3 linked regions of the Coturnix japonica genome follow. The protein of the gene in region 1 purifies or fractionates together with the protein of each later gene. This does not show direct contact. Links are inferred from orthologs where the notes say so. Each region holds a gene or a part of one and is shown in the gene's direction. Other genes may lie near its edges. The genes, in order: STRN3, CTTNBP2NL and CCT2.

Region 1 (3,747 bases):
ATTGTCTATAAATTAGATGATTTTCTGGACACAGAGGTTTTAATTGTGTTTTATCTGTACTAAATGTAGAACAAAATAGGTTAACCTGGAATTAAAAATGGCCCAGTGGCCCAGTGCGAGCAGGGGACAGCAGGTGGGCAAACACTTTTGAGGTATACACTGGTCTGATCAACTTTCCAGCTACGAGTCTGCTGTGAAAAAGCATGTAGCAAATGAAGACAGTTCATATGGTTTATACCTGTGTTCTATTTATTTTTGTTGTTGTTCTGACTGTGCACAGGCTTTACTAAAACTCGTATCAATAAGAGTGACCATTTTTGTATTCTGGGCCTTAGCCTTCAAATTACTGTCCACCCAGAAATGAAACAACTTTGTCAACGTGGCTTTGAAATAAATCACCATATTTAACTTCAGGATGAGGAATTTTAAGAAAAGCAGCCTTACTAATCTGGGGAAGCCAAGGAGGAAGGAAGCAGCTAAAAAAGTTTTCCTTTGCAGAGCGGTTGTCAGCATGCTGCCTGAATATAGTAACGGAGCTAAACTGCAGCACTTCCAAGGTAATGGGCAATGAGGAATGTCTCAAGGGCTGGAGTAAAACAAAGGGCCAAGAGGACTGTGAGGTAAGGGGCAATTTTTGGTCACGATTTGATACTGTCTGGGGAGAATGAAAAAATCTGCTGAGGTGGAAAAGTTGGATTCAGACAGGCTGATCAGTGTGGAAAAGGGAAGACTGAGGAAATGATGGTAGGAAATGACTTAATGGAGAAAAGTCGGATAGGAACTGGTAAAACAACTGAAACAGCAACATGCACCTGAGGTCAGCAGAGAGGAAATGCCAGCACTGGGACAAGCAGGATTTATTTTTCGGCATTTAATACAATTACAGCACTGTCAAGAACGAGCCCATTAAGGACACCATCCATGTTCCACCCATATATACAGCATATGCATTTTTAGGGAAGTAAAACCGAACCCGTGTGTTATTTGTGAAGGGGCGGCCTACAGATCCACCAGGACGTGGTGGGCACTTGGTAGCGCTGCATTTCAGGGCAGTGCTGTGCAGCCCAGCTTTCACCACGTCCATGCTGTGCAGCCAACCCGGGCTGTGCTGCCATGGCACACCAAACCTGCTGCTAATGTGCGCGCTCGTTCTTCCCATCACGGAGGGGAAACATTACACAAACCCCTCAACTACAACAGCACGAAGACGACCTTCATTACAATACAATTAGGATCGGGCACCGCCAGAGCACTTTCAGCCAACCTGTTCTAGAACCACCTACTTGTGAGACACACCGAGCAGCGCCCAGCACAGCCCGGCGAGGCACAACCGGAGCGGCCTTACAGCCCCTCCCAAAGCGGCCGCCCCCCGCCCGCTCAGTGAGCAGTATCGGTATCGGTATCATCAGTATCAGTATCAGTATCAGTATCAGTATCAGCCCGCACTGCCCCTCAGCGCAGCCCCCCCCAGGTCACGGCGCTCACCTCCCCCAGGCGCATGCGCGCTCCGCCGCCTCGTCGGGCCGGGAGGAAGGAGCGGAGGGGAGAGGGGAGCGAGTTCCCGGCATGCCCCGCGCGCCGTGCCGCTCCCCCTTCCCGTGTGGGTGGGCCGAGGCCCGGCGGGCTGTAATGGCGGCTGGCGGCGGCTGGGCGCTGCTCTGACACCCGGATACCGCTCGGCGCGGCCCCCCGCCTCCCCGTACCCGGCCCGCCCCCTCCCGCCCGCCGCAGCCAGCGCCGCTCGCCCCCTCCCCGGCCCCCGTTCGTGGCCCCCCGCCGCGGGACGAGAAGGAGGGCTCCCCGCAGACAATGGACGAGCACCCCGGAGCCGGAGGAGGCGGCGGGATGGCGGCCGCGCCGAGGCCGCAGCAGCCCTCGCCGCAGAGCGGGGGTAACGCGAACCTGCAGCCGGGCGGGGGCTGCGCGGGGGCCGGAGCCGGCGGCGGAGGGCAGCAGCAGCCGCAGGGCCCCGCGGCCCCGGGCGGGCAGGAGGCGGCGGGCCCCGCCGAGCTGTCCCGGCCGCAGCACTACACGATCCCGGGGATCCTGCACTACATCCAGCACGAGTGGGCCCGCTTCGAGATGGAACGGGCGCACTGGGAGGTGGAGCGGGCCGAGCTGCAGGTACGGGCCCAGGGTGGGCTCCGCGCGCGGGGCCGGGACCGACTCGGGGTCTCGGGGCCGCACGGGAGAGCGGGGCCGGCGGGTCGCCAAGGCCGGGGCGGTCGCTGCGGGACGGGAGCGGTACCTGCGCGAGGGCCGGACGGCGAAGCGACGTCGCCGGGCGGCGGGGCTGGCGGAGGCGCGGCCGCTCACGGCCCGAGCTGGGCTCCCTTCCCTGGGGCAGCCATTTTGGTTTTTAGCATGGCGCCCGCCTGGGCTGTTGGCGCCGGAGCCAACCCGGCTCCGCGGGCCTCGAGGGCCGCAAAACGCCGGAGGAGGGCGGGCGGCCGCTGAGCGCGCTGATCGGTCGTGCGGGGCAGGGCCCGGAGCGCCCTGACAGCTGCGGTCCCCTCCCCGAGCACAATGACTCGGGGGCTTTCGGAGCCCGGCCCTGCTCAGCCCTGGGTGCTGCTTTGGGAAAGCTGCGGCCCGCGGGCGTGGAAGGATACGGCTTCACCGGAGCTGAGCGAGCGGCTCCTTCGGGGTAGCGGGGAGGCGGCGGTGCCTGCCGAGGTGGGAGAACGCTGAGAACGGGGTCGAGAAATCTCGCAAGCAACGGACTTGACCGGGTTCTCACGGTGGAGACAGGTCGAACACATGCTCTCTTTCCTTCCTTTTTGTTTCTTGGGAGACCTCACGTGGGAGAAGCAACTGCTGAAGAATAGTGAGGAGCTGATGGGTCTGCAGTGTGATCCTTGTCCTACAAATACAAACTCTGTGTCAGGAGCAAAAATTGAACAACTCTAGAGGGCAGGGAGCAAGTGTTTGAGTTCCAGCATAGATCTCTGGCCATAAATGTTTGCTTTTCATAATGGAAAAGATCTCTTGTATTTACGTGTTCATATAAAAAATAAAGCCACGCATCACAAACTTATGTTCAGTTTATGAAATCTACAGAGTCTGAGGCATTTGTCTATAAGTTGTGCATTTTTTTTTCTCCTATGAAAGCATAACAGTTAAAATTGTTTAAAAAAGAATGTTTCTTGTTATGATTTATATGTTGGGTGAATGTTTGCAGTCTTGAAGCAGCATTCCATCAAATCACGCCTTACCTGCAGTTTGTGGAAACATGCTGTAGCAGCAGCCAGTGTTTGTGATGTACGTCTGTGTACATCTTGATGTATGTCTGTGTACATCTTCAGACTGTAGAATGGAGAACTCTACCTAAACCTGGACAATTCTTTCAGGATTTTTCAACTCTTAGACCACATGTGTAATTTGCAGGGTTGTTGTTGTTACAGCTTGAATTGAGATAGAATAAAAGAAAACAAAACATCACACCTTCCCCCTCCTCCCCCCAGAAAAAAATAAATAAATAAATAGTAAGAGAGATTTTGCTATTTATTTCACTTACTGCCTGATTTACTATTTTAAACCTTTCAGAACAGCTGATCCTAAAATCACTGTGGTGGAAATGGGGTGGGTATTTTCAGTAGCAATGGACTTGTTCTCATATCTTCTGTAGCGTCTCAGTAGTATAGTACTGTATTGATAGGTAAATAAATAGCTCAGTGGTGTTCATTATCAAGCAAGACCATCTTGAAGTACTTGTTTTGTGTATAGGCTTGTGACTTCACAGTGAAG
Region 2 (3,647 bases), on another chromosome or scaffold:
TGAGATGTCAGAAAGCACCTTTCCCAATGAAAAGAGAGCAGAGAAGGCAGTATTTGTCAGTCAGAATGGAGCTCTCCTACCTAAAATTTGTCCTTAAGCAATCCTGTAAGAAATGGTTGATGCTTGGTAATGGTTTGCCCATCATGTTCCTGCTGAGGAAGTGAGCAGTGATGCTGATGTTGTTCTAAGTGCCCTCATCAGCAATATCATGATATCACAGAATGACCTGGGAAGGGGGGATGTGAACTCTCAACAATTTCCTTTTATTTTGTTTAGCAGGGTTTGTGCTTTAAGTATATTGACGTGCAAATTTGTTTTGATACACAGGCCCAGCACAGGGACACCTTCATTGAAGAACGCTATGGAAAGTACAACATCAGTGATCCATTAATGGCTTTGCAGAGAGATTTTGAGGCCCTGAAAGAGGCGAATCATGGCGAAAAGCAGCCAGTGTGCTCCAACCCCTTATCCATCCTGAAGGTGGTGATGAAACACTGCAAGAATATGCAGGAAAGAATGTTATCCCAACTAGCTGCTGCAGAAAGCAGGCACAGAAAGGTACGTTTTGCTTCTAATAAGCTACACAGAGGTGGATAGCTGCCTTTTGAAGTTATGTTGGTTTCGATAACAACACTGAAATGCTTGGATTTTGGTGACTGAAAGGGCTGTGCACCTTCATGTGAGCTACTTGTCACTCTATGATGCAACTGGGAGGCTCAGCAACTGTAGTGATAACATTGAGGTTTCTATTAGAGGACATGCAGAAGGAATTACCTTGCCCAGAACCAAGAGATGTAGTTGCAAATGTAAGAGAATAGCTGGGTGGTTGAATTCTGAGCAGACATATCACTGTTCCCTATGATCATCAAGGATCTGGTACCACCTACTTATGGGAGAGTGCCTCCTATAAGATGAGCTTTCCTAACACAGTGTGACGTGGCCAAAGCTGCTTTTCATGCTGTTTGGTCTCTTTAATAACTCACTTGTACATGAATGTACCTTGAATGAGTTGTCATCAGTGATGTTCAATCAGGCTTCTTCCCATAGGCTTGCCCATCTAGCACACCTTAGTTTGTTAGAGGAGGATAAAGCCACAGTGTATAGAACTCAAAGACCCACTACAAAGTACTTTCTTCTTTTATCTACTTAGCTCTTAAAAAACAAACACACAAATCCCTCTGTTTACATGGTGTTATCTCCAGCACCTGCACTGCAGTGCTGTGTCTCAGCCTCTTCACATAGAATGGCCTGGGTTGCAAAGGACCTCAATGCTCATCCAGTTCCAACCCCCTGCTATGTGCAGGGTCACCAACCAGCAGCCCAGGCTGCCCAGAGCCACATCCAGCCTGGCCTTGAATGCCTGCAGGGATGGGGCATCCACAGCCTCCTTGGGCAACCTGTTCCATTGGGTTACATACTGAGAAGCAGCTGGGATTTTGCTTTTACTCGCATCAGAGTAAGCTTTTACAGTGCCAAATTTAAGTCTTATTTTTAGCTACTGTTTTGATGGGGATATGGCAGAGCAAGGTTCTTTCAGTCTGTGAGGAGCGTGAAGCATTTCTGATGCAGAAATCACTCACAGTGATATGAGCTGCCAGCTGGGCTTCCCATCAGTGTGCTGAGTGCTGGCAGCTGGAGCTTTCAACTGCCCATTGGTGTGCTGGGAGTCATGGGAAGCATGATGTGTGTCACCTTTCAGACAAGAATCTAGCTAAATATTCACAGGAAAATCAGATTTCACCCCCCCCCCCCCCTCTTTTCCTCTAATAAAAAGGTTCCCTGTGTACTTGAAAGATATACAAGCATTGTTTGGAAGCCTAAATTGCAGGAAGACTGAGAAGCTGCTGTAAATTCCTGGTCGCTGTTTTTTGGAAGGCCTGGAGGTCTGCAGGGTGATGCAAACTCACCCAAGAGACTCCACCATATTTGGCTTTCTTTTTGTTGAGCTAATAGAATTTCAGTTGTTCTAGATCAGCATAGAAACTGAAGGAGCTCCTTAACCGGGTCCTTATGGCAAGCGGTTTCATTTCAAGAGCTCATCTCATTCTTAAGTGGAAGAAGAAATGAATGTTCTTTAAAATAAACTTTGCTCCGCAGCCCTCAAATGGAGCAATCTGTCTGCAAATTGCAGCCTGTTGTGCCACGTGCTCTGCTCCTGTTGGCTTTGTTAGAGGTGCAGACAGGAGGTGACAGGTAAGGTGCAGCCAGTAGTGACAGATAACACAGTGGTGGCTCTTTTGTATAAGCTAACTGCAGTGTGGGTGCAGGTCTCTGTGTTTTGTTCAGCATGTGAGCACAGCAGGGCACTGTGGTGACCAGTGTTTGCTTGGCAGGTGATCCTGGACCTGGAGGAGGAGAGGCAGCGACATGCCCAGGACACAGCAGAGGGGGATGATGTCACCTACATGCTGGAGAAGGAACGGGAACGACTCACCCAGCAGGTACAGCTCACTGCCCAGCCCGTGGTTCCATGCAGCTTCAGTTGGTTTGCTGAGGCCAGATCACACCTCAGTGTCAAAAGAATATCATGAGCCTCACACCTTTGTGAGTCCCTCTGAGTTATTATCATTTCAATAGGAAAAACAGATGTAGTTTTCTGGTAAGCTGTTCATAAATGAGTGCTTTGTAATCTTACTTCAGACCAAAATCTGTGCAGTTCTGAAGAGCCCAGAGCCCTGCTCACAAGTGATGATGCTTTCTAGTACTTAAAAATGAGAATAAATCATGAAAGGTCTCCTAAGGGGGTTGTTGAGAGATTATAATAAATATTTAAGCTGCTATTTTCTGTTACTGAAGCACTGTGGGCTTTAATAAACATAAATAACACATCAGCATTTTAAAGGCTAAATGCTTCTAAAAGGCAAACTGACAAAGCAGTAGATGGGGTGGAAGGAAGATTTGCTTCAGATCAGTGCGTGCCAGCTGCGTGTAGCTTAATGCCAACTGAATTTCATGTGCTAGTAAGTAATAATCCATAATGTACATGAACAGAGCTCCTTATTGTACAAGGCTGTCCCACAGACACCAGGGGAAGGGCTTCTTTATTCACCTTAGGCATAGCCATCTTTTTCTGGGCAGTATTTCCAACGTGTGTTGTAAACCCTTTTGCTTTTGGGTTGTTATGCTTTGTGGAGGCGTTGTGCTTCCCATACAGCCTTTCTTTGCTCCTCTCTTCCAGCTGGAGTTTGAAAGATCCCAGGTTAAGAAGTTTGAGAAAGAACAGAAGAAACTCTCGAGTCAATTGGAGGAGGAGAGGGCACGCCACAAGCAGCTGTCCTCCATGCTTGTTGTAGAGTGCAAGAAAGCCACTGCCAAAGCAGCAGAAGAGAGTCAGAAGACGGCAGAACTGAGCTTGAAACTGGAAAAAGAGAAGAGCAAGGTGAGTAAGCTGGAGGAGGAGCTGGCATCCAAGAGGAAGCGGGGCTTACAGATGGAAGCACAAGTAGAAAAGCAGCTTTCGGAGTTTGACATCGAAAGAGAGCAGCTGAAAGCCAAGCTGAACAGGGAAGAGAACCGTACAAAAGCACTGAAAGAAGAAGTGGAATCGTTGAAGAAAGCCCTGAAAGAGCTGGAGGCTGCTTGCCAGGAGCATGGTCCTGCTGAGCCTTCACAGCCAAGTCTCTCTGTGATGTCCAGAGGGGTTGCTA
Region 3 (3,747 bases), on another chromosome or scaffold:
CTTGTCATTACATTGTATGATATTGTAAGATTATTGTATGTCCTAATTTGCATTATAAAATGTTTTTTTTTTCCTACTTAAAGGCATAAATATAGCAACTTTGTATAAAGGTAGCTTTCTAGATTTTTATTTCTTTTATATAAAAAGGTCTAAACAGTGAGAGTATCATTGCCAAACTGTTTATAAAACTTCATTTGCCCTGTTGGATGAATTTGTTTTTACAGACATTCCATATTTCTTTGATGAAAATTATACTATGCAGAAAGAGTGTATTTTTATGCCATTCCATGTTAATCTTAAAAAAAAAAAAACACACAAAAAACCCCAACAAACAAAAAACAAACAGNCCCCCCCCCCCCCCCCCTTGTTTGAAGCGATCCTAATTGAGAAAGCTTACCAAATGTTCACCTTTAAAGCTGTATTATGTATTATGATGTTTTCCCCTTTACCAGTGCCAACTTCATTTGGAAAAAAAAATAATAATAATTGTAGCATGGCAATAAACTATTGATTTTACATTGAAAATAACGTGTGGGTTACTTTAATATGTGCTGCTGTTAGTGTGGGTGCATACTGCATTAGTAGCCTGTTTTGCTCTTCTGTAATATCACACAGGATTGTAGGGGTTGGAAGGGACCTCTAGAGATCATTGAGTCCAACACCCCTGCCAAAGCAGGCTCCCTACACCACGTCGCACAGGTAGGTGTCCAGGAGGGTCTTGAATATCTCCAGAGAAGGAGACTGCACCACCTCCCTGGGCAGCCTGTTCCAGTGCTCCGTCACCCTCATATATAAATGTCTAATCTCAACGAGCCCTGTTTCAGTGTACAGCTTAGTAGCTGTACATGCTCTGTGCTCTGTGACAAGTCCCTTTCCTGTATGCCCCCATTGAGGTAATGGCGGGCTGCCCCATCCCGCTCCCTCCCCCCGCCTCGGTGCGGACTGCATCTCCCACAGCGCCGCGCGGCTCCATCCCCGCCGCTTCCTGTGACGGCAATTCCGCCGTGCTGTGGCGCTGTGTGGCGGTGTGTGAGCTCGTCCCGTACCGGAGCCGGCTGTGTGTCCCTCGGCATCATGGTGAGCAACGGACGGCCCCGCACCGCGCCCGCGGAGCTTCCACCCGAGGGGGGGAGAGGGAACGAAGGAGGCGCGGAGCGGCGGGGAGTGGAGTGGAGTGTGGAGGAGGAGGTTGGGCCTGGAAGGTTCCAGAGCGCGCACGAGGCGAGCCCGTTAGGCCGCGGGCGGGTCTATTCAGTATTAATGTACTTGTTATCAAAACCAAGCGTGACACGGGAATGATTTCAGTATTAAAGCCATCTTAGCTTGCTAGTGCTGGGGATTTGTGTTTAGAATACAGTGTTTTGTCAAAGCTCCGGGACTATTCTCTGCTCTCTCTGCTGTAGGCGTCCATTTCTCTCGCTCCCGTCAACATTTTCAAGGCAGGTGCAGATGAAGAGAAAGCAGAAACAGCTCGGTTGGTAAGTTTATTCTCTCAGATAAATGATGCTCTGGGTAATTACAGTCGTTCTTTTACATTTAAATTTACTTTCAATGTGTACTGCTGTAGAGCTTCAGTAGTCTCGTTTTGTCTTTTGTTGTTACAGAAGGTAGAAGTGTTTTGTTCATATCAGCAGTGTTCTTCTTTCAAGGCCATGCTGGATGGGGCCCTGGGCAACCTGATCTAGTAAAGGTGTATGTTTGGTGGCCCTGCCAGGCAGGGGGGTTGGAACTACATGATCCTTGAGGTCCCTTCCAACCCGGGTCATTCTGTGATTCTGTGTATCTCAGCTTAGGAGGTTCTTATTCCTTGGAAGTCTTTTGGCTCTGTTATGTGGTTTTATGCTTACTGCAAAAATTAAGTACGTTACTGAAATGTAGCACTTAAGAAACTTGGAACCAGATTCTTCTGGAAGGAGTTTGCCTGTAGAAGAATTTAGTTAAGATGTCCCCTTGGAAGTTAGAGCCTAGCTCTTACTTACTGTTTTAAAGTAGAAATAAAGAATTTTCTAAGGTGTATTTGTTTTTGTTACAGTCATCCTTTGTTGGTGCAATCGCTATTGGTGACCTGGTCAAGAGCACTCTGGGACCTAAAGGCATGGTAAGATAGCTTCAAGTCCTCAGTGGTCAGACCTGTTCATTTCAGGCTTTAGCCCACGCAAACCTCATGGAGGTTCGTGAGGCCAAGTGCAAGATTCTGCACCTGGGTCAAGGCAATCGCAGACATGAACACAGGCTGGGCAATGACTGGAGCCCTGTGGAGGAGGACTTGGATAGATTGTTGAATGAAAAGCTGAATATGAGCCAGCAATGCATGCTTGTAGTCCAGGAAGCCAACCATGCTCTGGGCTGTATTGAAACAGTTGTAATCAGCAGAGAGAGGGAGGGCATTGTCCCCCCTGTTCTCTCTTAAGAGGACATGCCTGCAATACTCTGGGTTGGGGTGCCTGACACAAGAAAAGCGTGGAGCTATTGGAGTGGGTCCAGTAGAGGACACAGGGATGATGAGAGGGCTGGAGCACCTCTCTTACAGAGACAGGCTGAAGGAGCTTGGCTTGTTGAACCTGGAGAAACAAAGGCTCCAGGGAGACCTCAGTGCAGCCTTCCGGTGTAGAAGCCTACAGGAAAGCTGGGAAGAGTGTGTAGTGATGGGACAAGGTGTAATATTTTTACTCTGAAAGAGGGCAGGTTTAGATTAGTTATAAGGGGGAAATACTTCACTCTGAGGGTAAAGAGGCCCTGGCACAGCTGTCCAGGGAAGCTGTGGATACCCCCATCCCTGGAGCTGTTCAAGGCCAGGTTGGATGGGGCCCTCGGCAGCCTGAGCTGGTGGACAGCGACCAGCCCACAGCAGGAGGTTGAAACTGGATGGTTTTTAAGGTCCCTTCTAACTCGCACCATTGTATGATAATTTAGTTTTAATAGTTACTGTTCTTTTTCAAACTGTTCTATTTCTTGCATCACGTAGGACAAGATTCTCCTCAGTACTGGGAGGGATAGCACGGTGACAGTGACCAATGATGGTGCAACCATCCTGAAAGCTATTGGAGTTGACAACCCAGCTGCCAAGGTCTTGGTTGGTGAGTTTCTAACAGTTTGTCATTGTCATACATGGAATTTCTTCACTTGTAACTTTCTTACGTAGTTTTAACTTCTTCATAGAGAAATATTCTACACAGTGTGAAAAATTGACATATTCTGTGATATTGCTTATCTATACTTGAGAGCATCTGTCTGGCCTTACTTTATTTTGATCATGATCTTTAGGCACACGTTGAGAGGGGGGTGGCTCTTGAATACTGATAGGCTAAAACAGGTCTGTGTTGCAAACGACGATGGGGAATTTGAAGGATGATGTTGTGTTTGATTTGCATCTCAGTTTCAGTCTGAGTTACAGTTTGACAGCCTCTTTGGCAGTGGAATTCTTTTTTCTTCCTTAAAGTCATGTGAGGTACAAATGCTGAAGATAATAGCTGCTAGGGGCGTTCAGTCTGTTTTGAATGCAAGCATTAATGCAGTGCCTTTCTTTTAGATATGTCAAAGGTTCAAGATGATGAAGTTGGTGATGGAACTACGTCTGTCACAGTGTTGGCAGCTGAGTTGCTGAGGGTGATGTATTAACATTTTTAGACGGTTTCATATAGGCTGTGTAGTCCTGGGATGCCAGTAGGAGATGTGTTGTTGATGCTTATGAAGTGGGCTCCCAAAGGATAGGAATACTTTGCCCCGTTGCCATTAAACTGGTAGGAA

Evidence for each region.
Region 2: the proteins of STRN3 (region 1) and CTTNBP2NL purify together in Homo sapiens (affinity purification with mass spectrometry; 4 studies listed by BioGRID and IntAct, with this or other methods). This does not show direct contact. The link is inferred for Coturnix japonica from reciprocal best matches to the Homo sapiens genes STRN3 and CTTNBP2NL.
Region 3: the proteins of STRN3 (region 1) and CCT2 purify together in Homo sapiens (affinity purification with mass spectrometry; 3 studies listed by BioGRID and IntAct, with this or other methods). This does not show direct contact. The link is inferred for Coturnix japonica from reciprocal best matches to the Homo sapiens genes STRN3 and CCT2.

What each region holds. Positions count from the first base shown.
Region 1 is NC_029520.1:30,850,746-30,854,492, forward strand, and holds the start of STRN3 (striatin-3), read left to right. Parts: upstream 1-1,616; 5' UTR 1,617-1,809; coding exon 1,810-2,124; intron 2,125-2,248; exon of another isoform or gene 2,249-3,431; intron 3,432-3,747. UniProt on the Homo sapiens protein: Calmodulin-binding scaffolding protein which is the center of the striatin-interacting phosphatase and kinase (STRIPAK) complexes.
Region 2 is NC_029541.1:3,554,766-3,558,412, forward strand, and holds part of CTTNBP2NL (CTTNBP2 N-terminal-like protein), read left to right. Parts: intron 1-327; coding exon 328-558; intron 559-2,333; coding exon 2,334-2,441; intron 2,442-3,178; coding exon 3,179-3,647. UniProt on the Homo sapiens protein: Regulates lamellipodial actin dynamics in a CTTN-dependent manner. Associates with core striatin-interacting phosphatase and kinase (STRIPAK) complex to form CTTNBP2NL-STRIPAK complexes.
Region 3 is NC_029516.1:32,201,110-32,204,856, forward strand, and holds the start of CCT2 (T-complex protein 1 subunit beta), read left to right. Parts: upstream 1-941; 5' UTR 942-1,074; coding exon 1,075-1,077; intron 1,078-1,403; coding exon 1,404-1,478; intron 1,479-2,032; coding exon 2,033-2,098; intron 2,099-2,965; coding exon 2,966-3,077; intron 3,078-3,529; coding exon 3,530-3,606; intron 3,607-3,747. UniProt on the Homo sapiens protein: Component of the chaperonin-containing T-complex (TRiC), a molecular chaperone complex that assists the folding of actin, tubulin and other proteins upon ATP hydrolysis.